Rhinolophus ferrumequinum: one gene and its partners. The protein of the gene in region 3 purifies or fractionates together with the protein of the main gene of each other region. This does not show direct contact. Links are inferred from orthologs where the notes say so. Each region holds a gene or a part of one and is shown on either strand. Other genes may lie near its edges. The genes, in order: UPF3B, SMG7, UPF1 and UPF3A.

Region 1 (7,026 bases), on a different chromosome or scaffold from region 3:
AAGACCACTGGCATATAGACATAAGCCAGAATAAAGTAAGTAGAATTGACCAGAAGGCATCACAAAGCAGTCATGGAGGAAACATAATTTTGGAAAGCCTGGTACATGCAGAATCACATTAGTTTAATAACTGATGTGTTTGAAAATGAATAGATAACCCAGACCAAAGCAGAACGAAACTGTGGAAGATAGGCTGAAGAAAACGGAAGTGAGGCCAGACTATGGAGGGTCCTGACTACCAGGCTAAGGAGTTTGGACTTTTTTTTTTTTTTAAAAAAAACTTTTATTTATTTAAGTTTGTTTTTCCAGGACCCATCAGCTCCAAGTCAAGTAGTTGTTTCAATCTAGTTGTAGAGGTCACAGCTCACAGTGGTCCATGTGGGGATCTAACCGGCTGCCCGGAGTTTGGACTTTTTCACAACTATTATTTTAAATGACTATTTCCAAAAAGATTAATTTTATGGCAGTTAGACTGAATTACACAGAAAAGGAAAAAAAGGAAAACCCTGTAAGTTTAGAGACAGTGGTTGTCTAAGCATTAGGTGATGATATCAAATATGAAAATATTAGTTAGACTGGATGAATAAGACATTAAGAAACAAATTTAAAAGATTCATCAATTCTTTAAATGTAAGGGATAAAAAGGAGGAAAGAGTTAAACACAACTCAGAGATTTCCAGGTTAAGTCACTAGGAAACCATTGCTATCTACGGAATATAGTTGCTGGAGGGGAGAAGTAGCTAGTTTGTGGGGATTTATAAAAGTTGGACAGTGGCAATCCTACTTTTACAGGCATATTCCCTGGTAAAGCTTTCATTTTCACTAACTTTGAAGTAATACTGAAAACAACAAAACTCAACAAAAAGACACATCATTCACTATGATTGCAAAGCCAAAGAAAAGTGACAAATGGCAGTGAGGACATTCTCTGGCTAAATGTTGCAAGCCGCAGAAAATAAATAGAGTTAAGGCAGAAATTTTTCTTCTCTTTAGACTCCTGGATACAAAGTGGGAGATCATCAAATTCGATGTTTTAATTACATACAATTTAGAATGTTAAACAGTATTCCAGCATGGAACTATTGGCTTAAGTTATTTGAATTAAGTAAACAAATGTTGATCCCTGAAGCAAGATGAGAAATGTTTAAACTTGCCATACAAGTTTAAAGAGTCACTTATGAGTATAACTGCTGAAACTGGTCAAACAACAGATTTTCTAATTCAGGGCAAAAAAATTGTCACAGGAGGAGAAAACAGGCAATTTCATTCAGTTGATCAAACTATAGAAATAACGGGTTAATAAAAATACCAGAGGACTGTGAAAAGACACATATCTATGTATAAGATTATAATAGGTTTGTCAATAGGTTAAGTCTTTAAATGTTGCACGTTTTATCATCCAGGATTTTAGAAAAGCTATCAAGGCATTAAGAAAACACTGTGATAACACACATTGTCTTAAACACAAATGACAAAGAAACTCTTTTAGTTACTAGAACTCACCTTTATTGTCAAGGAATACATAACCATCAAAGCGATCCCTGAACAAAATAATGTCCTCTTGATTTTTAAAGTTGATGTATGCTCTGGCATACATATGAGGATACAGACTGCAGAGAGGAAAGCAATTATGTAAATATGCTTGCAGGTGTCTGGCTGAATTGTAAGAATGCACATATTAAAGAGACAGGCTCAAAACTCAAATGGAAAACAGTAGGATAAAAAAGAATGGAAGAAACCTTTTTCATTTACCCCCCTTTATTTATTTATTTTACCTAGTATCATTAGAAAAAAACTCAAAATAATCATGCTCTGGCATAGGCTGAAGATGTTCCTGAAGCTGCTCCTTGGTCAAAGTGGGAGGTAATCTCCGAATTACCACCTTCAGAAATGAATAAGTAAAATAAAATTAGTACAAATCAATTTTCAGTCATACATGAATGAATCACCATCCCTGAAGAAAGCTGTGCTTTGAAAGATGAGATCATTTATAAAAACCCAGGAGAAAATAGTCTCCTAATGTTCAGAATTAATAAAAAATAGTAACACAGTTTTTAAAAACTCTTAGAAATGAGAACTGTCTGGACCAAGGAAAATCTCAGGTTGAAGCCCCGAAGTTTACCAGGTTTCCACATCATTTTATATCACCCATTTTTCAATAGATGTAGTGGTAAGAAATTAGTAGGCCAACCCTGGTCTTCTGTGGGTGCCACGAACTCTTGATTTATTATTTCCCTACCACATCCAACATCCTAAAACAAAACCCTTCCTCATTCAGCATAAAGAATTCAAAACTCTAAGGAATATCCCGAATGCCCTCATTGTTCCCAAAATAGGATGCACCCGATCCGGCCCCCAGACCATTAATTTCCCCATACTCCTTCAACTCGCCTCCATTAATACTCCTATCACAAACTACTCCCACCCTTGATAGTCCCTTCAGTATTTAATAATTTCCCCCAATTAATGTTTTAATTCCTCATTCTCTTCATTATCGCTCCCCACCCCTCCCATTATCTCACAGCTCTGACCTAAACCCTTCTCCATCTGGGAATCCCCTTTCCCTCACTCCCACCCCGGGGCTTGGCCGGGAGGGGCTCCATCCATTTCGGTCCAGAGATTAAGACAGGGTGATGCGGTTTTCACACAGGGGAAGAAATAGAAGGGTCGACCGGGAGAGGAAGAGGGCAACCCCATTCCCAACCATCCTCCATGGGTGGCGAACGCGTCCCGCCCTCTCACGGGCCAACGGCGGACCAGGCACCTTGCTCAGCGCCTCCCTCTTCTCCTTGTTCCGATCCTGCTTATCTTCCCCTTTGGTGCTGTCCCCGGAAGCCCCACCGCCGCTGCCTGTGGCCCCGGGGGGAGTCAAGAGAGTTACTCGCTTCTCCTTAGGCCTATGCTCCTTCTCTTCCTTCATGGCCACTGCTTTGCTCCTCACAGTCGAAGCTCGGCCCAAACGCCCATACGCGGAGCAGCTAACGACTGCCGGCCCACCTCCGTCAAGACTCCGCCCCCACCAAATGCCCCTAGTGATAAGACGGCCCCGCATTCCATTGGGCCTCGTCAGGATCTCGCGAGACTACAGGGCGCCCTGCTTCCTCTGGAGGAGAGGTTTGAATACCTGGTCTTAAATTCACCCAGCCCAATCCGCGCACCGCCCAGTCCCCTCGCGGCGCAGCAATTCCTCCATCTTGACTACAAGCACTCTTTCCTGGACTACAAATCCCGGCATGCAAAGCAGTTACCCGCTTCTGGCTGGGAGCTCTGGAGCCTTAGGTATCTCAGGGTCTCTATTTTTAAGTAAAAGGAATACTTCAATATCGAATGTTTAGTGTTTCTCAGATCGAAAGATAGGTTCTGCGTGCTGTCCTTCATATCGTGTTCCTCTGATAAACCCGATGTTATCCAAAGTGTACCTCACTAGGGGAAACAATTTGTGTTTTCTATCATTGATTCTGAGGGGAAGCAGAAATTGCCAACCCAAAATGTCTTTTGGGATATTGATTATTTTAAGCTGGTTATTTTTTAATAAAAAGACTCAGGCAGGACCTTTCACCTTCTGCCTAACTGCCTGTTCCGACGGAGTCTGAGTTGTTCTAACATTTGTGCCTGAGAAGCCACAAGCCCAAAGAACACACCAGGTAACTGGGTGCAAGATAGGTATTAGTGAGACTTACAGACTGGGAACAGTCGCCAGTGGTGGCCAGCCAGAGGAGTAGCATTCTGCACACAGGCGCAGAAGCAAAGTTATATAAGTACAGTAAAACAAAGAGCATTCCATGGGAGAAATCATCTGCAGGCCCTGCAGGCCTGCTGTCATGCAGTAGCATTCCCATGGAGCCAGGAAACCTTGACTGCCAGCTACCTTATCTGCCTGTGGACAGGTCCCTACATCCCGCCCCCTCATCATAGCTCCCAGATTCTTGCAGGTTGAAGATGTACATTGTAACCAGACACCACAACAACAACATAAGCAAAGGAAAAACAATAACAGGTCCAGGAGGAAAGCAACAATACCCAAAAAATGTGAACAGCCAGGAGCGAGTGAGGGAGGCTAACTAATCAGAAAAGGGGTCATATATAGGGAGCTCTGCTTTATCATGGGCCCTGGATTCTCAGTAGTGACATGGGAGGGGTTTTAAGACAAAGGTTGGGGATATTACTAGTCTCTATTCTATACCAATACTCCACGGGGCTAAGATACCCAAGATACCCAACCACCAAGGCCTGGTTTGCCAGTGCCATGGCCAAGAGACCGTGTGTGTTCCTGTGGGTAAGTCTTGCGGCAGCAGCAAGAAGAGGTTGCTTCTGGTGCCTCACTGAGGCATGAGACTGTGTGGCCCAATCACTTGAATTCAGAGGGCCTGGTAGGGCCCAGGTGTCAGGAGAGCAAATGAGCTGGGCCTTCCTCTTTCTTCCAGGGGAGTCATGGATGGTCCTGAGGGGCTGACGCAGCCCGGTGAGGCTGTCTGCCTCATGATTTCCAGGTGGGGTATTTAACTTTGCATGAGCTGGGATCCCCTTCTTAACCAGTCTACATAATGGCCTAAGGATTTAGACCAAGTGGGGGATGAAGGGTCGCCCAGGAAGCCCCAAAAAGTCTGTAACTGGGGGACAAATGAGGGGACGGGAAAAGACTGTATTTTGTCAGTAACTGCTTCTGGCATGACTTTTGTCTTACTCGCCCACGTAACACCCAAGAATTTGACAGAGAACCCAGGCCCTTGCACTTCGGTACAGTTCACTGCTCATCCTTGTTGCTCCAGGTGGGGAATCAGCGTTCCAGCTGCTTGCTCTGGATCTGAAAGAGACACATAAGGTAACATTATGTCATCTATATAGTGAAACAGGTGCACCGAGACAGGCTTTTACCAGAGCTGAAGATCAACTTGCCACGAGGCCATGGCACATAGTGGGACTGTGTAGGTAGCCTTGGAGGAGGACGGTAAATGTCCATTGTTGCCCTCCCCATATGAAGGCAACTTGGTCTTGACTAGCTATACTGAAAAAAACATCAGCCAGATCTATGACAAAATGGTATATTCCCAGGGCTTGTCCAATGCCATCTAGCAATATTAGGTACAGCTGCATATGCGGGGGAGAGGGGGCAGTTACCTTATTCAATTCCCGATAGTCTACAGTCATCCTCCAAGTGCCATCTAGTTTTCACACGGGCCACACAGAGCTGTTGAAGGCGCTGTGGGTTGGGTGAACAATGCCCACTTTTGCCAACTCCTGTATAGTTTGGGTTATCTCTTCTCCCCAGCAGGTGATATTGCCAAGTATTTGTTATGCAACGCGGGGATGGGAGTCTCAAACGAGATCATTTGGCATGTCCCTAGGTGATTGCCTTCACCACCCTGCATCACAGTCTAAATTCCCCTGCTGTTGTGTTAAGTGTAAGGCTTGCCAGAATGTCCACGCCCTAGATGTATTCAGGCATGGGTGAGATATGCACTACATATCGTTTAGAGGGGAGTTGGCCAATTTGTAGGTATATTTTAGCCCTAATAGTGCTTCCTCCACAGGTCCCTGGAAATAGTTGGTGTTGCCATATATCAAAGTGCATTCAGCTCCGGTATCAACAAGAGCTAAAACCTTCTGTTTATTCTTGGAAGACCAGTGGATGGTCAGTTCTACATGAAACCTCCGATTCTCAGCGTACACCCTGACCTGGAGTCCGGGGCCTTGGCCTCCATCCTACTGCAAAAGGTATGTGTCTGGCAACTCGCCAGCCTGTCCCCATACTGTGCGTACCGCAGCAATGAGCCACTCCATTAGAGAATGGTTGCCCTGGTTTTGAGCCAACCTATGGCAGTTCTGTAACCTTTGTCACAGGGACGGATGCACTGTCACGACGGCTAGCTTTTCCATCTCGCCTGGGGAGCAGAGAATGTTGTCTGCTCCCTTATCCCATAAACGTAGTAGCCAAGCGGAGACTGGCTCTCCAGGGCTCTGTCTGTACCACCTCCCCAGCTCCTGCAACTCAGTGGGAGTGTAAGGGGTGTAGGTTGTGAACTAAATCACAGCTGGGTTGCCTGCAGCAACGCCCCCGGGGTCACGTTTTACCCTTTGCTTCAAGATTGGCCAGGCTAGGGGTTTGGGAGCTACGTTGTCTCCACTCACTTCCTCCGCCTCTGCCTCAGACTCTCCACTGTGGGGCTCCTCTTCTAACAGGCGGACCCGGGCTTCCAGAGCCTCCAACCGGGACACCTGGTCCGGCACCTGGATCATTTCATTAAGCGCACTTTCCGTTTTGAGACTCAACGCCATGAGGAACATCCAGTCCACGCAGCCGGCTGTAGCCTTCGCCTCCTCCGGCAACCGCTCAGCCAGAGCCTGCAGGGCCCTCTCCACGGTGGCCGGAGAGCCATCCATGTCCTCCCACCCCTCCTTGGGGGTCCAACTCCTGAGAACAGTGGCCAACGGACACCATACACTGTGTGGGGTCAAGCCATGTGGCAGGACCTCTGGGACCTAGGGCAGAGAAAGGAGGTGACCCTAATGCATGTCACAGGTCAGTCCCCTTTAGTGTCCCCAGGTAATGATGAAGCAGATGCCCTAGCACGGGTCTGATGGTTAGAATGGGCTCCTGCCACTGATGTGGCCCATTGGCTGCATAGGAAATTGCAGCACGCTGGAAGCCGAACAATGTGGCAGGTGAGCAGATGCTGGGGTCTGCCTTTGAAATGGCAGGAGATAGCAGATGCCTGCTATGACTGTGCCGTCTGTGCCCAGGACAGCCCCCAAAGGTGGAGGATCCACTGGGAGACACAGCAGATTACACGAGGGAGGGTGCCCCTCACTCGCTGGCAAGTGGATTATATTGGTCCCCTGCCTAAGGCCCGCAATGTGATGTATGCGTTCACAGCAGTGGACACTGCTACAGGGTTGATGTTTGCTTGGCCGTGTCCAGCTGCGGATCAGCGGCATGCATTGGTCGCTCTTACACGGCTGTGCGCCCTCTATGGTCACCCCCAAGTCATTGAAAGTGACAGGGGTACCCATTTTATGGGGCAAGAA
Region 2 (7,317 bases), on a different chromosome or scaffold from region 3:
TTATTCAAACATTGTGTTCATTCTTACTCTTTTCTCCCTTCTGCTAAGAACTAAATTCATCTCCAGCTGTGTACCGTTAATTCCCCAACTGAATGGTAAGTCTTCCTGACCATGGTGAATTACAAAATGTAATATATATTAACACAGAAGCCTCTCAAAGCCAACTGACCTTCCTGTTAAAATGATCACTACTCTCTCAGTCTGCTTTTCATCGTACTTTTCCTGTCCCACTGGCACCCCCTTATTTGGGGCCTTAACTGCCCATTACAGTACCCAGGTTCCTCTTCCTAATACACAACTATGAACACGTGAACTCCCTTCTAAACAAATCTCAGATTGTCTACTGTCCACCCGTTTTAACTATAAATTACAGATCATGATATTCAAGACCCTCTCAAATACCTTATGGAGTATTCTTTCCGTGATCACCCCGACTATAAAACAGCATGTCCCTGCTTTGCATTATTTTCTTCCTAGTACTTGTCACCACCTGATAAACATATCATTCTGTTCATTTTGTTCTCCACGATATCCTCAATGCCTAGAATTACCGTAAGCTTTCAACACATATTTGTGGGAAAAAATGGATGAACCCAGACATGTTGCACAGAATAGCTGATTTGGAATTAGAAGACCTACATTTGAGTTACAGAGCTTCCAGCTACATGGTCCTCAACAATTTTAACTTCTTTGGGCTATACTTCCTCATCTGTAAAAAGAAGGGATCAAACTTAATAACCTACAAAACGCTATACGTTTTTCTAGCTGCATCACCCTGTCTTCTTGTGTACATGAACTAAACACCTCCCCTGGCCCCCAACATCCACGTCCTACATAGCTCTGCTCGGTTTCCTTCCATTTGGAACCCCCTTTTCTCAATCCACCTGTCAGAATATTGTTTATTTTTCAGGTCCAGTGTAAGTGTTATTTTCTCCTTGAAGCCTAACAAACTGTAAACTCTGTCAGAGGAGAGTGGAGTTCTTACCTTTCTATTCTCAGCAGTTGGTACAATGCCTCATATAGGTGATCAACAAAATGACTGACGAGCAGTGAATGAATGAGCACATGAACAAAGGAAGCTTTTCCTGCTTCCCCCCAACCGCTCAGATAATCTCTTGCCTTTGGACTCTTATAACACTTGGCATCATGTATGATACTTACCATTTTTCCTCTGTACTGTTGTTATTTACTTGCCTAATGTGTACTAAACTGCAAAGTCCTGAAAATTAAGGACTATCCTGATGGTTTCCATATCCTCCCTCTACACCATCTACCATACATCTTTGACACAGTTGTATTTATTGTTTATCTGATATATTAAACAATAAACAGGCAAGAGGAGAGAAAAAGGAGCTTGATATATACAGATGGCGTTCCAAGTGCCCTATAGTCATTGGGCTCACGTGTTGCGTGGATCCTGTGTCTGTTAAGCTCAGGCATTCCACCATTAACTCAAAGATTTCATCATTCTCTCTTCTCCACTCTGCTTAATAAAAGTATAACTACTTTCAAAAGTAGAATAGCCACCCTCATGTATCACTATCTACCTTCTCTTGCGATGTCCATATAGGGATCCACTCACACAACAACACTTTCACTTCACTAAACAGCTCAAGTGACTTTTCTGTTCTTTTCAGATTTCTACCCCGTCCAATTTCCTCCTCCACAAGGTATGAAACCACTTTTTAAAACATCTTCCCATAAGCCTGCCTTCTTAGTTCTGCTCCTGAAAGACCAAAAGGATCCATTTTAAGATCTGCCTTCCCCTTTTCTAAGAAGTCGCAACTCCCCAATTAACCTCAGACTCTAACAATCTGTCATCAAGATTTTGACCCTCGTTTCCTTCTACCTTCAAGGTCTTAACTCAGCTTCTGCGGAACCGTCCTGGCTGCACAATAGCTGGTGGCTTTCCATTCAATATGCTCTCGCCATCCTGTACTTGCTTCCAAAGTGTCTGCATCTTCTCCCTCCTAAAACGTGTATCAATCGTCCCCCCACCCCCTACCCCACGCACAGCTCATACTCGCACACTGTACCCACGCGTCCCTCTACCTTCCACATACAAGTTCCTTAACATCACTCTTAATGATGGTATCTCGCGACTACACTGATTCTAACCCAGGTTCTTTAGGTGAACCCAAACCCATCCATTGGACCTCCCTCTTTCCTCACTTCCTCATCCATTCCCCCTCTTTATGCCCGCACCCCCACCCCGCCAACTAACTACAAATGACATTATTCCTCATTACTTCCCACCAAGAATGAAGAACAAACTCCAGTTTCCCGCGGTCTCTTCCTCCCCAACCCCCCACACACCCCAGGTGTGTAGACTTCCACGGTCTTCTGGTCATGCACCGCTCCAGCCAATCCCACACCACACCACGTTTCCCCCGCCACCGGGGATCAGCCTCCTCCACACCCACCTCCACTCGGGGTCGCCGCCGCATCCCCGGGCACCTTCCCCCACCCCGAGCCAGCGAGCCCGCGACCCCCGGCGCGCGCGCGCACATTCTCACGCTTCCCTAACCTCCTTCCCGGTACCGCGACCAGCCGGCTTCGCTGGAACTCAGCCCGGCCCGCGGTGGCTAGGCATCCCTGTATTTGCCCGCTCCGCCGCCTCCCGCGGAGCTCCTAGCAGCCCCCGCCTCCCTGCCGGGGAAGGAAAGGACACAGCAACTCCCCCGCCACCCCGGATATACCACCTCTGTGTCTGTTTCTCCAAGCCCCAACCCTAGGCCCGCTCCCCCTACGGACGGGGCCGGCCTCGGCACTCACCGGAGATACTGCGCGCTCTGCAGGCTCATCCTCCGCCGCCGCGTCTTCCCGCGAAGCCTCTGTGGGTTTCTCAGGCTCCTCGGAGCGGCCCCGCGGTACCGCGGGTGCTGGCGGCCGCCGCCATCTTCCTCTCCTCCGACTCCTCCTCGCTCGGCGGGGGGGTGAGGGTGAGTGAGGCAAGGGGGAGGGAGCGGGGAAAGCTGCTCTGACTGCTGCTCCGGTCTGTGGGGCGCAGGGACACTCCGACCCGGGAGGAGGGAGGAGGAGGGAAAAGGGAAGGGGCGGGGGGAAGAGGAGGGAGAAGCAGAGGAAGGAAGTGGGGTGCCTCTCGCGATATTTCAGCGGCGCCGGTCCCTCTGGTTGGTTTCCGCCTCTCTGTAGCGCTCCCTCTTGGGATCAGATGGCTGTGCATCGACTGTGCGGCTGCTGAGCAGCCAGCTGAAGGCGCTTGGCGGCTTCCTGCCAATCCACCCCTCTCCTCCCGCGCGAGGGGGCAACCCCAGCCTCACTGGGAACATCGAGCCCAAATTTACCGGTAGTTACATTCAAAGTCTTCCCCCGTCTTTCCACTCCATCCAACTTTCCCCTTTTCCACTCCTCCACTCTTCCCTACCGGAAACGCCGACCCTTCCTCCTACAGTTCCGCCCTCTAGTCCCTCGACTCTTGTCTTCCCTCGCGCCCTACAGTGACGCTGAGGACCCCCCCTCCTTTCTGCGGTCCCTCCCTCTGCACGCAGGGAGATTTGGAGGGGATGAGATGGAGCCCAGGGAGGAGGAGAAAGGAAACCAATCGGATTGGATAAGCAGCTGCTATGGCAACTGGAGGCTGTAGTTGTATCGTCATAGTAACCAATGTGCGCCGAGCGGGTGACCCTCCCTTTGCGAATGGATTCCCAGGAAGGTGCCCAGGATTCCCCCCCGGCTTCCCTTACATCTAAAGGCCTCCCCCAGGTTGGGAATCCGGGGTAGTTCTCCCTGGCGGTGAAGTTCACTTCCTCCTCCCTTTCCCCTTCCCGCAGCGTTGGGGGAGACCCCGAGGCATTCACCATGGGCTTTTCCACCAGCCTGAGGACGGGAACCACCTCCATAGTTTCCTCTTATTGCCGGGCGTGGAGAGGGCCGGGCCTGCGAAGAAGATGCGGGGCCTGAAGGCTGGCGGGCGAGGCGGAGGCGCTGGGCTGCGGGGCGGGCGAGGGGTTTCCCCACAACTGCCTCGGGCTCTGGGAGGCGGGATCCCGCCAGGACGGGGTCCCTGAGGGAGGAGAACGGCACACGACAGCCGCGATCCCTCTCCTGCCGACTGGGACATCGACTTTACCCAGCGGGTCGACCGACCCCTTATAGAAATCCCCCAAACCCCACCCCACATCCACCCTCAGCTAACGAGCCTCCTCGGAGTTAACCCGGGCGGCCTTCCAGAGCCACCTCCTGCCGCAAGGAGGCCAGAGTGAGCGTGGGAACACATCCTAGAAGGCTAACGTGGGTTTACAGCCTTTAGAGCCGAGAAGGTGGCGAGACGCTAACGATTGCCATCTCAGAGGCACCCCCCCAGTGGGGGTCCCACTTGGTTATCAAAAGCAAACCGAGTTCCTCCCTCCTCTGCAAACTTCTTCCTTCTCTGATGGGTCTGCAGTGGTTTAGAACTTGTCACTCTTTGTATTTTGGGTTGCAGAGGAAAGCGTTGGGTAAAATAGGATTAAGAAAAACCTAGGTACTGGCGCGAAGTTCCGGTGAAAGGTATCTAAGATTTTCATTAAAACAACTCTTTGAATGTCTACTATGTGTATTTTGTGTCAGGTTTGGGGTTAAAAGGCAGAAATAAAGAATGGGGTTAATAGCATGGAGTTGTGTGAGAAGTAGCTGGGGAAGTCATCCTAATGATTTGAAGGAATTATTTGACTTTTCATAAATTATATTTTCGATTCGTACTGAGTCGTTTAAGCAGCGATCCCAAAGTACTTTGGGATGTGTAACAATATAAAACCCTCCAGAAATGTAGCCCTCTTTGGATATTTAAAGTGAGGGTTTTAATGGGCTATTTTTGTTTGACTCAGTTTGGGTACTTGATTCCTGCTGTGTTCTGTGCTACGTAGGTAAAGAGGCGCTTTCGAGATCCTTCCCCGAGACCGCCCCTGTTAAAAGAATGAACCAATGTCCATTTAGAACATAATGTGTAAGCCTAGAAGAAATGAAAGCACAGGCTACTTTGAAATAAATCCCAAAGACAGATTTTCATTGACGAAATAGAAATTGAACTTTGCCCTTCCTGCTGCCAGCGCCTACTGTGATGCAGTGTGACGGTGACAGCAACTGTAAAATGCCTCCAACATCCCCTGCTCGCACCGTCGGGCCGCCCACTGGGGGAAAGAGAGCCCCCTAGTGAGAGATTGTTCTCATCTCTGGTTCTTCAACCCTGAGAGCCCAAAGATGGAGATTACTACTACACCTGACCTAAAACACCCTACATTTCTTTCCTGAAATGTATTTGCTAGATTTTTAAAGAGATTTAGGCCAGAATAAAAATCTTATGTAAAATACTTACCCCCTCAGTACTCATCATAATAACGCCTTTTATGTCTGTGGCTCACATCTCCGGGAAACAGTACGTGAGCGCGTATCATGACACTCCTGAGAAGCAATCTAACGAAAAACTGGGGTCTTCTCATTTTGGAAATAAGGAAACTAGGATCAAAAAGTTGAATCCATTTGTTGTGTTGTTTATTCAGTAAACATTTACTGAGCGCTTACTACATTTCAGACATTGCCCAGGTTACTATGGATACTAGGGTGAAACAGACTTGGTCCCTGTCTTAGAGGAACCCACCTTCTGGTAGAGATACCAGAGAGTAGAGAAGTGATTAGGATGAAATATGAGTGTAGTAATGAAGGTAAGAACAAAGTACGTTAGGTTGACAGATGAGGGTCAGAAATATCATCTTTGTATTTCATACCAGCTTTCCTAAGAATTTTATAAGATTCTTCAATGGCTTTACAATGTCAAGCACCAACTGGATAAAATAGTAACATTTACGTTTTACAGCTTATAAGACATTGATGCCCATCTTGAAAATAACTTTCAAAAATCAGTAGGACTCAGAAAAATTGACCCAGAACTTACATATTGCTTAATGTACATTTTTCCAGTCTCCTCTTTCTATTGCCACGCCATCAACTGACTTATAGAATGCAAGCATCTTTCTGCAATGTATTTATTTATTTTTCCTCCTGAGGATAGAGATTACATCTAAACCAAAAGAAATTAAAGAGAAGCTGTCTCATTTTGTTTAATCCTGCCTGACATTAAGTTTTTCAGTTTGCGCTTAAGTGATTTTTATGGAAAGATCATAAGCTAGCCCATCTGAGTGTGCATTCCAACTCTGCCTGTCCCAGTCTCTGAACTTCAGTTTCTTCCTTGACCAAAGTGGCAACATTACCTATTATAGGTTTCCTGTGAACTTTAATGGTGATATATGTGACTGAGTACATGGGTGCCTGACATACCACACTGGCACTTGAGAAACGTTAATTTTCTTTTTATCCTCTTGCTCTCTTATATATCAAGCTAAAATGAATCATTTAGCACTACTATAGCATAAAATTATCTTTTGAAATAATGGTTTATCTAGTCTTTGTCTAGGAACTCATAGGTCTGGTTACACACCCGAATCTATTCTCATTCAGTGCTAGAAGATAGATTTCTTTATCCTTGACTCTGATTACAGAAAAGAATACAGTATTAGGACATTGTGAGTCAGATTCTAGAGAGTTGAAACTTTAAAAAAAAACACTTTTTCTCACTAAAAACAGCCCAGTATAACCATATTTGTGCACAAGTAAACAGAGATACTTTCTGAGAAGCTACTCTTAACATTCCTACCAAATTTACCCCGAGCTTTGATGACCTGACAATAAATACATAGCAAGCCTCCTCCCTCTTTATAATAATAGACATCTCACCTGTTCCATGAAACCTTAACAAGTACTAATTTATTTTAATATTTAGCCTACATATTCTAAATGTTTTGAAATCCTGTATATAATTAGGTACTTCATAAATGTGTTTCTATTTTGATGAGAAGAATCAATTATCAATTGCAGTACTCAAATACACGATGTGTATGCAGCTGCCCTGTGCTCTCTTCAGCACCACACCTCAGATCGTGAAGCTCGGTGATTCAATCAAATGAGTGATTCATTCTCTTCAAATAGTGAGTCAGATACAAACTGACATCTAAACTCAGGTTTTCTCTAGTTCATGATTTCTTAGACCAAAGGTCAGCAGGCTTTCTCAACACAGTTTGCCAAATGTACATTTATTCATTCGCTCCTGAGAGGGAGTTACCAGGCCTGCAGAACAGTCAGGAAACATTGCAGTCTAAGATCCAAGAACAGAAACTTCTGGCTTGAGTAGCTGTGAGATTGGAGAATGCTAGTCAGAGCTCTCTGTCCTTCCGTGATTCTCCTAATATTTACCAAGGGAAACTACATTCATCTTCAAGAATTTCTTCCAAATCCCTGTAAGAATCCCAAATTCTTCCAAAT
Region 3 (7,677 bases):
CGCCTGGGGTTGGCGGAGGGAGGACTGTTAGGCTAAGGGGTCTAGGGTTTCTGTTTAGGGTGAAGAAAATGTCTTAAAATTGATTATGGTGGTGTTTGCACAACTCTTTCAGTACTAAAAGCCACTGAATTGTATACTTTAAATGGGTAAATTGTATGGTATGTAAATTCTCTTTCAATAAAACTGTGAAACAAAAGCAGCTGCAACAGCACTTGACACTTTACAACCACTAATCCAGTAAGATTCAATCAAAAGGCATTTAGAATGGGAGGTTTCTGAGTCTCTCTGGCAACCCCGTCACACAGTTCATTCCGCAGCCAACTCCTGAGGACAAACACGGAAAAGCTCCCCAAATGCTGTGACCAGCAAACGCTGTAGGGAGCAAATGCCACCACCTGGCACAGAAGATAATCAATTTTTTTCCACTTTCCAATTCTATTCAGACTTTCCTGCCCCCAAATTCAGGGCCTCCTCTTGTGACACAAACATCACTCCCCTTCCCCAAATATAAATCAAAAATTAGGCTACAGGTATAGGTGGGTGGCTCATCAGGGTAACTAAAAGTAAGGAAGAACAGGCCCTTTTGATGTCATCAGAACTCAAGTGAGCTCCACTGTACTGTTTACCTCCAGTGGGGAGTATTAATGCTTTTATATTGTACAGCTCAGTGTTCAGGTGCAGGAAAATAAATCGATTACTTCAACTGAAAGAGGACACGCCGCAATTAATCACAAATATGAGGAACAAAACTAGAACCCCAGCTGACCCATGTTTGCTGTGTTGTATTGGCTACAGTTAAAAAAAAGATTTGCAAAAAACCAATTACTATTCACAACCCTGCGCTGCCACAGATCGTGGTCACTGCTTGACCAAGAGATCTTTATCCTGGACCTTCTAGACACACTGGGCACAAGTTACAGACAGCACTATCTAGCCCATATGAATGAGTCCAGAGATCATGCATGTTTAAAAGTAACAAAAGTAAAACTGCTATGCCCCCATTTTACAGCTGTGGCAACAGAGAGGTCTACAGAGTCAGACTACAGAAGTGATCACACACCTCCAGGGGCTCTTTCTTCTCTCCAGGCAGACTCTCCCTCTCTCCTCCCTCCCTCCACCACACATAAACAAAACTGAAAAATATACACACTTGCACACCTGTTCTCTCTGATGCCCCACCGATCAGACTTCTATTTTTAAGGAATCTGGGGTTAGAATGAGTCAAATGTTTTTCGCTTCTATTAGGGGCTAAAAGAAATGCCAAGTGGGTGGTCTACCCACGGGAGTGACTCAACCAACGACTCCCAACTAGCACATAACCCTCATCCCCCAGAACAGGGTCTGAGCTCACTCTGGCTGAGGATGGGGTGGTCGCCCCAGCCCAGGCACTGGGACCTCATGCCTTGACACCTGTGATAAGGTGAGCCTTGTAGCTCCTCCCTGGCTGTGAATTCAGGAAAATAAACCTAAGGGACGTGCCAGGCACAGGGAAACCTGGGGAATGGAATCTGAGATCCAGAGGATGATGGAGACATTCCCTGGGACCCTAGTCCAAGACCCTACCACTGGGAGAAAGGAGTCCCTTTCTCCCACTGGGGAGCAGGCATCCAGTTCCAGGAAGTGTACGCCTGATACTTCTCATCCCCCAAATTCAAATTTAAAATACCTAAGTCGCTTTCACTAAACATTCACATCATTAAAAACAAAAGTTTCTGATGTGGCAGATCCATTTATGTAAAACCCACTATCACTGCCCACTGGAGGAACAAACTCAAACCCAACTTTTCCAAGGCAGAGCTGTGGAGTTACGTAACAGGTCGGTTTCAGCAACAGGCAATGCAAGAAGGAAAAACAAAACGCAACCTGCCTCTTGAATAATCGCAAAAGCCAGCGAATGTGGGGTTCTCTCCACCGGAGGCAAAAATTCCATTTGTGCTCCTGGAGCCTGCAGCCTCCGCTCTCCAGTCCCTGGGCCTGAGGAAATTTGACCCTAAGGCTCCGTGGCTGTGAGAAGGGGGGTGTCCAGATGACTGCGACCACAGGTGGGGGGTGTGAGGCACGGTTCCCATTCCGCCAGAGTGGGGACCCGGGCAGATCCTCTGAGATCCAGGCAGAGGGCAACTTGGGGACAAGTCACCCATGACCTGGCAGAGAAGTACGTAGGGCAGGTCACCTCGTACATGCTCGGAAGGAAACCTATGGGAAGTCACCTAAGACCTGGCCTGAGCTAGATCCGGGACAGTTCTTAGGCTTAGGGGGACTCAAGGCAGATCCCCGAGACGCAACCAGAGTGGGACCCGGAGCAGGTCTGCCCTGCGCCCAGGCGGTGTGTGGGACCGGGACTCGTTACTCTGAACCTAGCCAGAGTCGGGGTCCTGAGAGATTACTCCGCACTCGACCTGAACGGGAAACATGGGACCGGTCAGACCAGGCTTAGCCAGAGTGAAGGACCTGGGACAGGTTACCCCGGATCCAGCCGGAGTAGGGGATCCGGGGCAGGTCAGCCCAGGACCGGCCGGAGTCGGGGACCCGGGGCACATTGTTCTGGGCCCAGATGGAGTGGAGAACGAGGGAACAGGTTATCCCGGGCCCGGCCGGAGTGGGGGAGCCGGGGCAGGTCCCCGGGCGCCGAGGCCCGGCCGGGCTTCCGGCGCCGCCATGTGCCGCTCACCTGAGCGTCGAGCTGTCCGCCCGCAGCGCCAGGTCCCGCGCCGACCGGGCCCCCCGAGCCGCCACCTCCGGGACCGCCGGGGCCGCCGGGGGGCGTCTGCGTCTGGCTGGGAAGAGTGAAGTCGGTGAACTCGAACTCGGAGCCCTGCGTGTCAGCGCCGAGCAGCTCGGCCTCCTCGGTGTCCAGGAAGGTGAGCGTCTGCGAGCTGGGGCCGTACGCCTCCACACTCATGGTGCTGCCGCTCAGGGCCCGCTGGCCGGCTCCGCGCCGCAATCGAGCCCGCAGCCGCGCTGAGGCCTAGGCCGCAGGCCTCGGGCCGCCGCCGCCGCCGCGCCCGCGCCCCTGAACCGGACCGAAACGCCCGCCGCGGCACGAGCCGAGCCGAGAGCCGCGCGCCGAGCCGCCGCCGCTGCCTCGGAGCCCCTCGGCACCACAGCTCCTCTCAGAGCCGCCCGCCGCTCGCAACCCCCGGCAGGAACCGCCGCCGCTGCCGCCACCTCCGTGCGCGTGCGCGAGCCCGACGCCGGCGCAGGTGCGCGTGCGCGAGCCCGACGTCGGCGCAGGCGCGCGCTCTTCTCCAACCGCGCCCGGACGCCCAGAGTCGAGTGGGCCGACGGGACGCGCAGTGCGCACGCGCGGGGCGGAGGCGGGGCTATCAACTGCTGTCGCGGCGGCTGCCGGAGCACGTAGTCCCGCCCCAACTGCTGTAGAGGGGTGCTCGCGCGACGGTTGGTGCTGCTGCGATGGTCCACGCTTCTATTGAGCCCTAACTGAATGCCCTACGCAGATGGAGCTGGGGAAGTACACCACCATCTCCTGGAGACGCCCCCTGGTCCTCAGTCTTCCCATCTGTAAAACGGGGGTGTCTGCACACTTAATAGGTGCTCAGTGTGCAGTGGTTCAATAAACGAGTGGGGACAGCCCTGCAGGGATCCTGTTGCTCGCAGAAATGGTGTTTGCTGCTGCCTCAAACAATAATATTCAGAGGCAGTATATAGCAAAGCAATTGGGACCACAATCCAGACCTGACTACCTACCAGCTGTGTGACCTTGTACTAGTGATTTCACCTCTCTGAGCCTTGAGTTTCATGGGAAAGGGAATTAATAACCATTAAGATGAAGAATAAATGAAATACCAGTCACCCCCTTAATATTTATAAAGTTTCACGTGCATGGGGTTGGCTTTATTCATTATAAGGTCTTTTCTATGCGGAGAATAATGCCCCCACACAGTAGGTGCTCAGTAAAAGGTTGTCCAAATTCAGCCGCTGGTTTATGAGCCTAAATCTCCTTAAATTCCGAGCCTCAGGATCCTTTTTTGCAAAATGTTTTGAAGAACCCTCCACTTCCCTTTCTGTCCCAAAATTCTGGGGCCCTCTAAATACTTGAAGTCATCTCACACGGCTCCTGGTTTATTACTGATACTTTATGGTTCCACATTTTCCAGTATTCCTGTCACAACGTGATAAGAGCTTCCTTTTTCCTTCTTCACATCTTCTCTGGCCTCCTGTGCACTGAAATGTGAGGGTATAGAAAATGAATAATTAGATCTCCCCTCCTCCAGGAAGACAGTTTAAGGGGAAATCGGAACAAGCCAACAGATGGTTTCAATAAAATTCAAAGCCTATCCAATCAGCTCAGGTGCCTCAGGAGGGAGCCCAGCCCCAGAATGCAGTCGGGACCAGCTGACCCCCAGGTCCCAATGACATGGTAGCCAGGATTCCAGATGTGTTCCTTAGCCCTCCTTTCCCTGTCACCCCAAGACCTTCCACTCCCTTCCTCTGATAGAGCCCTCTTCATAGCCAGCATTAATCATAATTGTGATTAAATTATTGTCAGTGCGATTATTTGTCTAATGGACACCACTTTTTTGTAGAGGATACAGGCTGTTGAGTGCCCTGCCCAGAACTTTTTTACTGGTTGGCGCACCCCCATGCCAGCTGCTGCAAGTATTGACTGCTAAAGGCTCACAACCACCCCTTGTGAATTGTCCGGGAGCAAACTGTCTCACCAGGGAGGTCATGCCCCCTCTAAAACATATACACCCTAGGAAAGCCCATGCCAAGGACTGAATGGTATGCGGCACAAGAGGCTGAATCCCTCGCAACTAAATGGGACCAGTCTAATGTCATCAGGCTCCAGGGTTCCCCCCTCACCCGGATCAGACTGAGGCTTGATTCCAGCTGAGCCCACTTCCTTAACTTGTCCTGCGTCCTTCACTCCCTCACACATTTCCCCCAAACTCACACCCCTGAATCTCCATCTCAGGCTCTGCTTCTAGAGAACCGATCCAATCCAAGGCAGAAACCAGCTCTCTGAAGGGCAGTAACTGTGTCAGTCTTGTTTGCTGTTCTATACCCAAGGCCTCGTGCAATAGTGAGCACACAATAGGTTCTAAATAAATGTTTTAGGGGACAACTCTTGAGCCCTTGTCACTGCTTGGGTAGAACAACGAAGTGTCCTATTACCCATGTTTAATGAAGGGATGACTAAAAGAATTGTCACATTTAGTCAAAATCTTCGCTTCTCAGTCATCTCTGGCACATTTCTCCCACGATCCTTCCCAGAGATGGCTACCATGAAAAATACTGACACTGTCACACGCTGGTGAGGACAGGGATGAACCAGAACTCTTGTCCAGGCTGCTGGACAGACAAACTGGTGTAGCCGCTTAGAAAGGCAATTTGACCATTTCTTTAAAAGTTAACCGTGGACCCACCATGGGAGCCAGCTTTTCCCATCCTCTGTATTTGCCGGAGAGAAATGAAAGCAGACCTTGTACACAAAGGCTCACAGGAGCTTTATTTGCAATCATCACAAACTGAAAACAACTAGAAAGTCCATCATCAGGAGAATGTATGAACACACAAGATACTTCTCATCAATGAAAAGGTGTGCACTACTGACACTCTCAACAACACGGCTGTACCTCCAAGGCGTAATGCTGAGTGAAAGAAGCCAGACCCAAAAAGCTACATACTGCAAGATTCCATTTATAGGCTATTCTAGAAAGTGCAAACTAACTAATGTAAATGGACAGAAAACAGATCAGAGATTGCCTGGGGAGGGATAGGAGGTAGGCAGGAGGGAACATTTGGGGTGCTTGCTGTATTCACTGTCTTGATCAAGGTGATGGTTTCACAGGTGTGGATGTATATCAAACACATCGAATTGTATACGTTAAACATATGCAGTATTTGGTATGTCAATTATAACTCCATAACGCTGTTTAAAAAAGTAGTGTCCATGACAGTTAGTAGTCTATGAAAAATGTGTGTGTGAGAGAAAACTATAACAAAGGCATTCAAAGCTGGGATGCAGAGATCCGTGTACACGTATGTACACAGCAGCACTAGTAACAATAGCCAAAAGGTAGGAACAACCCAAATGTCCACTGGCTGATGAAGGATAAACAAAATGTGGTCTGTCCATTCAGTAGTATGTTATTCAGTCACAAAAAGGAACGAAGCACTGACACACGCTACAACATGGACGAACCTCCAAAACATCCTGCAGAATGAAAGAAGCCAGACACTAAAAACCTCAGAGTGAATGATTCCATATAAAATATCCAGAATAGGCAAACCCATAGCAACAGAAAGCAGATTAGATGTTAGCCGGGGCTGGGGGTGGGGGGGCGGGAGCTGGAGATGGGGGCTTATCGCTTAGTGGATACTGGGTTTCTATTTGGGGCAACGAGAAATTTTGGAAGTAGATAATGGTGATAGTTGCACAACATTTGGTGAATGTACTTAATGCTCCTGAATTTCATGGTTAAAATGGCAACTTTATATATTTTACCAAAGTAAAAGATTTTTAAAAATAAAATTCAATTAAAAAGAAAAATACATGTATGGCTATATTCTAAGCACATAGGATAGACAGTTGCTGAGTTTGGGTTAACCAGAGCAGGTCTGGATTCACATCCTCGCCCTGCCATTGGCTTGCTGTGTGACCTCTCTCAAATATCTTGGCCTCTCTGTGCTTCACCTGTGAAATGGGATTCCAGTGGCCCTAACACCCTACACATGTTATGTGAAGAACTTAAGGCAGTACCTGGCCACCAGCCATCAAACGCCAGCTCTTTGCGAATGCTTAGTCTTTTTTGCTTTGTCTGCATTTTAATAATTCATCATTGAAATTAAAAAAAAAGAAAAGACTAAAAACATTTCAGACCACACAAAGTCCTCTTGGGCCTTCAGCACAGGTGTGTGTTTCTCTCAGCCCAGGTAGATCTCAACCAGTCCTAGACCCATCCCACTCAGTGACTTAAGCCAACTTTAATTCACCCGCCAGCCCTAAATTCACAACTCTGCCCCACCTGCTGACCCAGCCCGTCCTCGAATTCCATGCCAGCCTCCAAGTCCGGGAAAATAGAATTCTTCTCTCGTACCAAGAGAGGTCCCTCAAGGGTAAGCAGCCGTGGCTGCCACAGGGAAATTCCACAACTTTGGGAAAAGGACATTTAGGATCCTGCAGCTGCTCCCCCAGTCCAGCCACTGGCCTCTTTGAAACCCTTTGTCGGGCTCCAGGCTCCCACAGATGTGGCCCTTGAAACCCCACCCTTGCTGAGAAGTGGCCAGCCCCACTGGACCATGGACTAGACCCCGTCTGAAGCTCCCCCAGGAACAGTGGGTGCTTGTGGGTTTCTGTGGGCCCCCCCCTCTGCAGCCCCATTCTTGCTTCAAAGGAGGCCCTTGTGGGACACGGATGTGTGGCCAAGGCCCCAGTGATGCTGGTGGGAAAAGAAAAATAAGTGTGTGTGTATATATTTTATAGTCTCCTCTGCTCTCTGAATGGTCTCTTTGAAGGTGATGATGGGTCACAGAAGGCCTTGGGTGGGGGGACAGCAGGCAGACACTTTGATTCTAATTCAACCACAGGTTGCTTTTTTGGGGGCACACTGGGGTGTCTGGAGAGGTGGGTTTTGGCCTGGCCTCAAAGCTCCAATTCCTACATCAACTCAAAGCTGCTATTGAGGGCAGCAGGGCCATCTAGCATCTCCC
Region 4 (7,375 bases), on a different chromosome or scaffold from region 3:
ATGAGAACACTGAGGCTCAGAGAAACTAGATACTTGCAGGGAGTGCAGTTAGTTAAAAGGTGGGACTAGGATTCCAATCTGAGTCACTCTGTTAGTCCAGTATCTGTCCTCCTTTAACTGTACCAGTTTTCCTAAACTTTAGTCATTTGAAAATCATCTTTATGTGTTTTTTTTAACCATATCTGTATTTACCTGTTAGTGGTATTTTTTTGTTGAATGGACTGACATTTTTTACTTAAATGTATTTATTCAAAAGGAAAGTTTATTTGGCTACCATAAATGAGAACTCATGATATTGAAGATAAAAAGAATAATAATGATAATAAAGAATGATACAAACATAGTGAAAATCACTAAATCACTGATGAACTGTCTGTCACCTGTTGAAGGTCTAACCTGAGGTTGGCTCTCTCTGTTAATGAAAAGATTTGGAAGTAAGAAGTTTTGTCAGAGTCATCTAACTACAAAGCTGTAAAAGGGAATTAAAAAAGATACAACTTGAGAGGGGCGGTGTGGGGTCTGGGTGTTAGTGATGGAAGGGAGTACAAGGGGCTTCTAGGGTCTGGAATATTCTGTTTCTTTATCTGGTGTTAAGTTACATGGGCGTGTTCATTTGTGAAAATTCATGAGTTATATATCCATTATATTCACTCTTTTTTATATCTCAATACAATTTACTTTAAAAAGTTTTATGAAATAAGTTTTATTGATGTGCAAAATACAATAAGGAAATAGTATGTTGTTAATGGTATGTGTTTCTTTTTAGACTACGGTGGTGCTAGTAGAGGCATATTTTAAATCTATTTTACAGGAATTTAATGATCTGCCTACTTAGAAATAACTTGCAGAAATAAAGGTCTGCACTAATTTCTCGGTACATGTGGGAAATAAGATGGAAGTGGAGATGGCTTCTATTACCTGTAATAATTTGCCAGCAAGTGACAATGTCTCTCAGCTTTATTATTGGGGAAGGGAAACAGGACTTTATTGGGGAACAGTGTGTATCTCCAGGACTTTTCCAAGTCAAATTGTTGTCCTTTCAATCTTATTTGTGGAGGGCACAGCTCAGCTCCAGGTCCAGTTGCCACTGTTAGTTGCAGGGGGCACAGCCCACCATCCCTTGCGGGAGTTGAACCAGCAACCTTGTGGTTGAGAGCCAGCGCTCCAACCAACTGAGCCATCTGGCCACCCAGGAGCTGAGCAGCACCTCACTGACTTCATTCTAGTTGAGGAGGGCATAGCTTGCTGGCTCCTCAATGTGGGAATTGAACTGGCAGCCCCATTGCCTGGAGCTCGCGCTCTAACCAACTGAGCCACCTGTCCGACCCTGTCAGCTTCTTAATGTTGGTAAACAGCTGCTCACCTGAGATCTGCAGTAAAGAACTCAAAGTAATCGTGTGCAGGCAGCGGGTGTAGCTGCTCTTCCAGCTGCTCTTTGGTGAGGCTGGGAGGAAGGCGCCGGATCACCACCTGGGGAAAGGAGGCTGGCTGGGTTTTGTTTCACTCTTACTGTATTAACCTTCAATTATTTCAATGCTTGGTGACCTATGTGTATGCTCAAAGGAAAATATAAACCTTCAAAAGCACACATTTTAGGAACAGTTAAGGAACACATATATGGACAACATGGCTGTCAAAAGGTTAATGGGAGTTGAATAATTGAGAAGGGATCAGTGAGGTCAGAAAAGGCTGAGCTTAACAGTTCTTTTTCATGCAATCATGTCATTACTACCAAACAACACTTCACGTGACACGTACTGTCTGTGCCCCCAGTGAAAAATAACAGCTCCTGCATTCTCTCTGCATGATAACCCACAGTAGAAGGTAAGATCTACGCAGGGAATGTATGTATGTTGGAATTTTTGTTACCAACAGTAGCAAACCAACGGTGTATTTGCTGGTTCTGCCAAGAGGAACTCCGCCTGCACTGGACACCTTTCGCCTCCGGTCCACAGTGTCCACATCGCGGGTCCTCACCCACCGCGCCACCAAGCTTTCCAGGCTCTCTCTCTTGGCTTCACTATACTGGAAAGGACCTTTGGCGAGCCGCCGTTCCCCTTTCGTGCCCCCTCAGGCCGTGGTCCAAAGCACTGTGGACAGCTACTGCCCCTCGCTGGTGAGCCCAGTGTCTCAGCTCTACACGCTGAAAAGACTTTTCTTCCTTCCCAATCCATAAAGAACTAACGTTTCAGAGGGTGCTGAAAACTCTTGTCTCAGGCGGTAAGAGTTGCTCGCCGCAGCGCTGCCCGGCCGCTGTCCGCGGTGCTGATTCCCCCGCTAGCGGCCCCGCCCCGACTCCGCCCAGCAGCCCAGCTCTGGACACCACCCACCCACCCACGGAACGCACCACCCTTGGTCACCCCCCTTGGTCTCCCCCCCTCCACTGCCACTCCACCCCTTGGCCTCGCCCACTCCCTCTCTCTCCTGATCACCACCCCGCACTTCCACTCGCCCCGCCTCCCCCTCTCGGTCTGGACCAATCTCTTCTCCAGACGTTTGCTCGTACCACCCCGTCCTCGTCCCGCCTCGGCTCGCGGAAATCCCTCCTTCTCTGGCGAGGTTTGCCGGCACCTCTCAGCCCACCCCACTCCTGCCCTCGCATCCCCGGGTCCTGCCTAGGACTCAGCTCCTCTCCTCCGGGGTTTCACGCACAACCCGTTCTCGCTCCGCTCTATCCTGCGAAGCACGTTCCTCCTTTCGCGAAGTTTGCTTGCATCGCCCCGTCCTCACCCCGCCCCCGCTCCTTGTCCCACACCCACCTTGCTCAGGACTGTCCTCTTCTCGCGAGGTTTGCCTGTGCTGCTCCCACAGCTGGAGGACAAAGCCAGCGGCGATGCTGGCTCTCGCCGCGGCGACTCTCGGCGGAACTGAACTTCCGCAGCCGACGGCTTCTCCCTCCAGCTCTGGCCCCGCGCAGCAACGGCCGCCCCGGGGCCTCCGGCACACTCCCTTTCCGAGCGCATTCCGCTCCCGCCGCAGAGTCGCCGCCGCCTCCCGCCCCGGCCTAAACTTCGCGAGAACTGGAATGCCGCCGCCCCCACTGCCACCCCCACCCCCTGGTTCAGATGCCGCCCGCCCCTCCCTCCTTCCCCCTGCCACGGTCCCTGTTACCCACGTCCGGTTCTGGCCCACGACCTCCGAGCCCGCCCCTCTCACGGGGTTGGAGACACCCGGGAAACAGGGGCTGTCGGACTGGGCCCGGATCCCAAGCCTGGAGTCTGGTGTCCCGGTACACGGGGTGCCCCTGGACCCGCACCTCCGACCAGCGCTCTATTGTGTGGTCAACCGAAGCAGCGGTCTGGGTGGTTGAGATGTCGAGACTGCCCGCACTCTCCTGCAGCCCGGACTTCGTAGAGTCTTGGGACGAAGGAGGGTTCCAAGGCCTTGGAGATCAGCGGGAAATTCAGCACCAGAGGACGTTTGGCTCCAGAAGGAGCCTTTAATAAAACTCTGAAGGGCTGAAACTTTCCCACGGAGGAGAGCTGGTCCTTTAGCTAAACATTCCTGAGAATTACATTCACGCGCTTCATAAACTATTTACAGCTATTCTTTTCCAAAGGAGTCTGAAAGTTTCAACAGAATAGTAATTGTACTCAAGAAAAATCAACCAATTGACAAACAGCACAAATGGCTACATGGCTTTGCTATTCGGAATAGAATAAATGTACCAGAATTGAGAGCAGAAATTGGCCAGCGTGGAAGGTTCAAGCGCTCAGGTGTCAACGCTGACTACGCATCACAGGCTGGGTTAGAGTAACTAATAGACCCACGGCACCCACAAAACAGGGCCTTCAGAAGGTTTTCCAATACGATTTTTACTCAGCTTTTTGGGGCTCTCAATGGAACAGCAACCAAGCCAGATTTACATTTGTATACTTTTCTTTTACAAACATGCAGGCAGTGACACTTGGTTAGAATAACATAGATGAAAGTTTTTCGTTTTTAAATGCTATATTTTATACTTTCTCACTTTTCTTTATGCATGTTGGCCACATTTTATTCACAGCACCTTTATCCCAAGAATTTCAAGTAGAAATCAAAAAAGAAACCAGAAAATGGAGTAAGTGAGGCATTAAGAGATCAAGGGAGTCACTCCACCCAACAAAAGCAGAATATACTTCTCAAGCAAATAGGGCACTTTCTGCAGGATGGAGCACAAATTAGGCCACAAGATAAGTCTTAATACACTTAGAAAGATTGAAATCACACCAAGTATCCTTTCCAACCACAATGGAATGAAACGAAAACTCACAAAATGTGGAAATTAAACAACACACTCAAACGGCCAATGGGTACAAAATCATGAGAAAAATTAGAAAATAAGACAAATGAAAATGAAAACACAACATACCAAAACTTATAGGTTGAAGCAAAAACAGTGCTCAGAAGGAAATTTACAGCTGTAAAGGCCTATGTTAAAAAAAAAAAAAATCTTAATTCAATAACCTAACTGCATACCTTATAGGAGCTAGAAAAATAACACCAGAACTTAACCCAAAGGTAGCAGAAGGAAGGAAATAATAAAGATTAGAGTGGAAATGAAAAAAAGACTAGAAAATTAACAGAGAAAGTCAACAAAATCAAAAGTTGGTTCTTTGAAAAGGTATACAAAATTAACAAACCTTTAGCCAGATTGACTAAGAAAAGTAAAGAAGAGACAAGAGACTCAAATTACTAAAATCATAGAAGGGAAATTGTTACTGACTTTAGAAAAATAAAAAGGATTATAACAGGATAGTATGAACAACTATACACCAACAAATTGAATAACCTAAATAAAATGGACAAACTCCTAGATACATACAAATTACCAAAACTGACTCAAGAAGAAATAGCTATAACAAGTAAGGAGGTAGTATTAGTAATCAAAAACCTCCAAACATATATTAGAAAGGCCCAGGACAAGATGACCTCAGTGGTGAAGTTTACCAAACATTTAAAGAATTACCACCAATTCTCAAACATTTCTAAACAATTGAAAAGGAGGGACACTGCCTAATTCATTCTATGAGGCCAGTATTACCCCGATACCAAAGCCAAAGATACTACAAGAAAACTACAGACCAATATCTCTAATGAATATAAACATCTCAACAAAATATTAGCAAATTAAATTCAGCATTATATTAAAAGGATCATACACCATGACCATGTAGGATTTATCCCAGAATTGTAAGGGTGGTTCAATACACAAAAAGTCAATGTAATATACAACATTAATAGAATGAAGGGAAAAAAACCTGCAAGATGTTATATAAATGAACCAAAGATGGCTCTTGTATACTGCTCTCTATGTTGTTTACTTCACAGCGGGCTGGAATGGTTAGCTCCAGTCCACCAGCACCAAATCAAATTTTTACACTTGCAATTATTTTAAATATAGCCCAAACAATATATCTTTAGCCAATTAGAGCCTGCCTGTTCTGCATACCTGGCAATACTACACACAGCATCCACTAGCATAAATAAGAAAAACCCCAGGCTATAGAAGACTCCAAGCTGCTGCTGCACTGAGGATTTCTCTAACGCAGAGACTGCCATGTTGCTACTACTACATCACCAAGACATGTGAACCTCCTCTGTGATTCCCCTCCCCCAGGAGTTCCCTTGCCGTGGTCCCCTTCTGGGTGGAGGTCCCACACTGTTGTCTTTGGAAGGGGCTACCCCCTCCTACAACTTGTCAAAGCACAGCTTAAAGAAAGCTACCCCAAACAAAATGTGCTACTGCCACCTCATGGTCATGTCTTTTCCTTGAACAGACCTGAAAATCTAGAACTCATTACACCTGACCATCTCAACTGATCAAAAACAAAGCATATGTGCTACTGCCACCTCATGGTCATGTCTTTTCCTTGAACAGACCTGAAAATCTAGAACTCATTACACCTGACCATCTCAACTGATCAAAAACAAAGCATTTGATAAAATCTGCACCCTTTCCTGATTAAAAACAAACAAACAAACAAACAAAACGCCACCACACACTCAGTATATTATGAAGAAAGGGAACTTTTCTAACACCACAAAGGGTATCTGAAAAACTCACAGCTATCGTCATACTCAATGGTGAAAACTGAAAGCTTTCTCTATATGATCAGGAATTAGACGAGAATGCCTACTTTTGCCACTTCTATTCAAAACAATAGTGGAATCCTAGCCAGAGCAGTTACGCAAAGAAAAGAAATGAAATGAATCCAAATTGGAAGGAAGAAATAAAACTCTCTCTATTCGTAGATGACATGATCCTATTATTGAGAAAACTCTAAATAATACAACGTACACACACACACACACACACACACACACACACAAACACACGCACAATGTTAAAGCTAATAAATACATTCAGGATACAAAGTCAATATACAAAAATCAGTTGTATTTCTATTCACTAGGAATGAACAATCCAAAAAGGAAACTAAAAAAACAATTCTATTTACAATAATATCCAAAAGAATACTGAGGAATAAATTTAACCAAGGAGGTGAAAGACTTGTAAATGAAAACTACAAAACAATGAAAGAAATTAAAGACATAAATAAATGGAAAGACATCCTGTTCATGGATTAGACGACATAATATTAAGTCATAAAAATTCAGTAAAATCCCTATCAAAATCCCAATGGCTTCCCCCTCCCCCAGAAATGGAAAAAACTACCCTAAAATTCATATGAAAATTCAAGGGACTCACAATATCCAAAACAATCTTGTAAAAGATTACGTTTGGAGGACTCACACTTCCCAATTTCAAAACTTTCTACAAAGTTACAGCAATCAAAACAGTGTGATACTAACATAAAGGATATACATATGGACCAATGGAATAGAATTCAGAGCCCAGAAATAAACTCTCTTATTTTTTGACATGGGTGCCAAGATTATTCAACTGGGAAAGGACAGTCTCTTCAAGAAATGGTGCTGGGAAAACTGAATATCCACATGCAAAAGAATGAAGTTGGACCTTTAACTTACATTTACAAAAATTAACTCAAAATGGATCAAAGACCGACAACTAAGAGCTAAAATTATTTTTTTAAAAATCTTATAAGAAAACATAAGTAAAAATCTGCATAACCTTGGCTTTGGCAATAGTTACATAAATATGACACCGAAAGCAGTCAACAAAAGAAAAACTAGATAAACTGGACTTCATTAAATTAAAACCTTTTGTGTATGAAAGGACACTATCAAGAGAGTGAATAGACAACCCAAAGAATGGGAGAAAATATGTGTAAAACATGTATCTGGTAAGGGTTTAACATCCAAAATCTGTAAAAGAACGCCTACAACTCAACCACAGAAAGATAGCCCAATTTCAAAATGGGCAAAAGACTTGAATAGACATTTGTCCAAAAAGATAAATAAATGATAATAA

Evidence for each region.
Region 1: the proteins of UPF1 (region 3) and UPF3B purify together in Homo sapiens (co-immunoprecipitation; 16 studies listed by BioGRID and IntAct, with this or other methods). This does not show direct contact. The link is inferred for Rhinolophus ferrumequinum from reciprocal best matches to the Homo sapiens genes UPF1 and UPF3B.
Region 2: the proteins of UPF1 (region 3) and SMG7 purify together in Homo sapiens (affinity purification with western blotting; 7 studies listed by BioGRID and IntAct, with this or other methods). This does not show direct contact. The link is inferred for Rhinolophus ferrumequinum from reciprocal best matches to the Homo sapiens genes UPF1 and SMG7.
Region 4: the proteins of UPF1 (region 3) and UPF3A purify together in Homo sapiens (affinity purification with western blotting; 5 studies listed by BioGRID and IntAct, with this or other methods). This does not show direct contact. The link is inferred for Rhinolophus ferrumequinum from reciprocal best matches to the Homo sapiens genes UPF1 and UPF3A.

The regions. Positions count from the first base shown.
Region 1 is NC_046284.1:37,074,585-37,081,610, reverse strand, and holds the start of UPF3B (regulator of nonsense transcripts 3B), read right to left. Parts: upstream 3,010-7,026; 5' UTR 2,921-3,009; coding exon 2,765-2,920; intron 1,883-2,764; coding exon 1,776-1,882; intron 1,611-1,775; coding exon 1,504-1,610; intron 1-1,503. UniProt on the Homo sapiens protein: Involved in nonsense-mediated decay (NMD) of mRNAs containing premature stop codons by associating with the nuclear exon junction complex (EJC) and serving as link between the EJC core and NMD machinery.
Region 2 is NC_046305.1:14,980,665-14,987,981, reverse strand, and holds the start of SMG7 (nonsense-mediated mRNA decay factor SMG7), read right to left. Parts: upstream 3,005-7,317; 5' UTR 2,805-3,004; coding exon of another isoform or gene 2,776-2,804; intron 1-2,775. UniProt on the Homo sapiens protein: Plays a role in nonsense-mediated mRNA decay. Recruits UPF1 to cytoplasmic mRNA decay bodies.
Region 3 is NC_046301.1:51,445,953-51,453,629, reverse strand, and holds the start of UPF1 (regulator of nonsense transcripts 1), read right to left. Parts: upstream 3,022-7,677; 5' UTR 2,903-3,021; coding exon 2,672-2,902; intron 1-2,671. UniProt on the Homo sapiens protein: RNA-dependent helicase required for nonsense-mediated decay (NMD) of aberrant mRNAs containing premature stop codons and modulates the expression level of normal mRNAs.
Region 4 is NC_046287.1:56,480,871-56,488,245, reverse strand, and holds the start of UPF3A (regulator of nonsense transcripts 3A), read right to left. Parts: upstream 3,017-7,375; 5' UTR 2,964-3,016; coding exon 2,760-2,963; intron 1,471-2,759; coding exon 1,364-1,470; intron 1-1,363. UniProt on the Homo sapiens protein: Involved in nonsense-mediated decay (NMD) of mRNAs containing premature stop codons by associating with the nuclear exon junction complex (EJC) and serving as link between the EJC core and NMD machinery.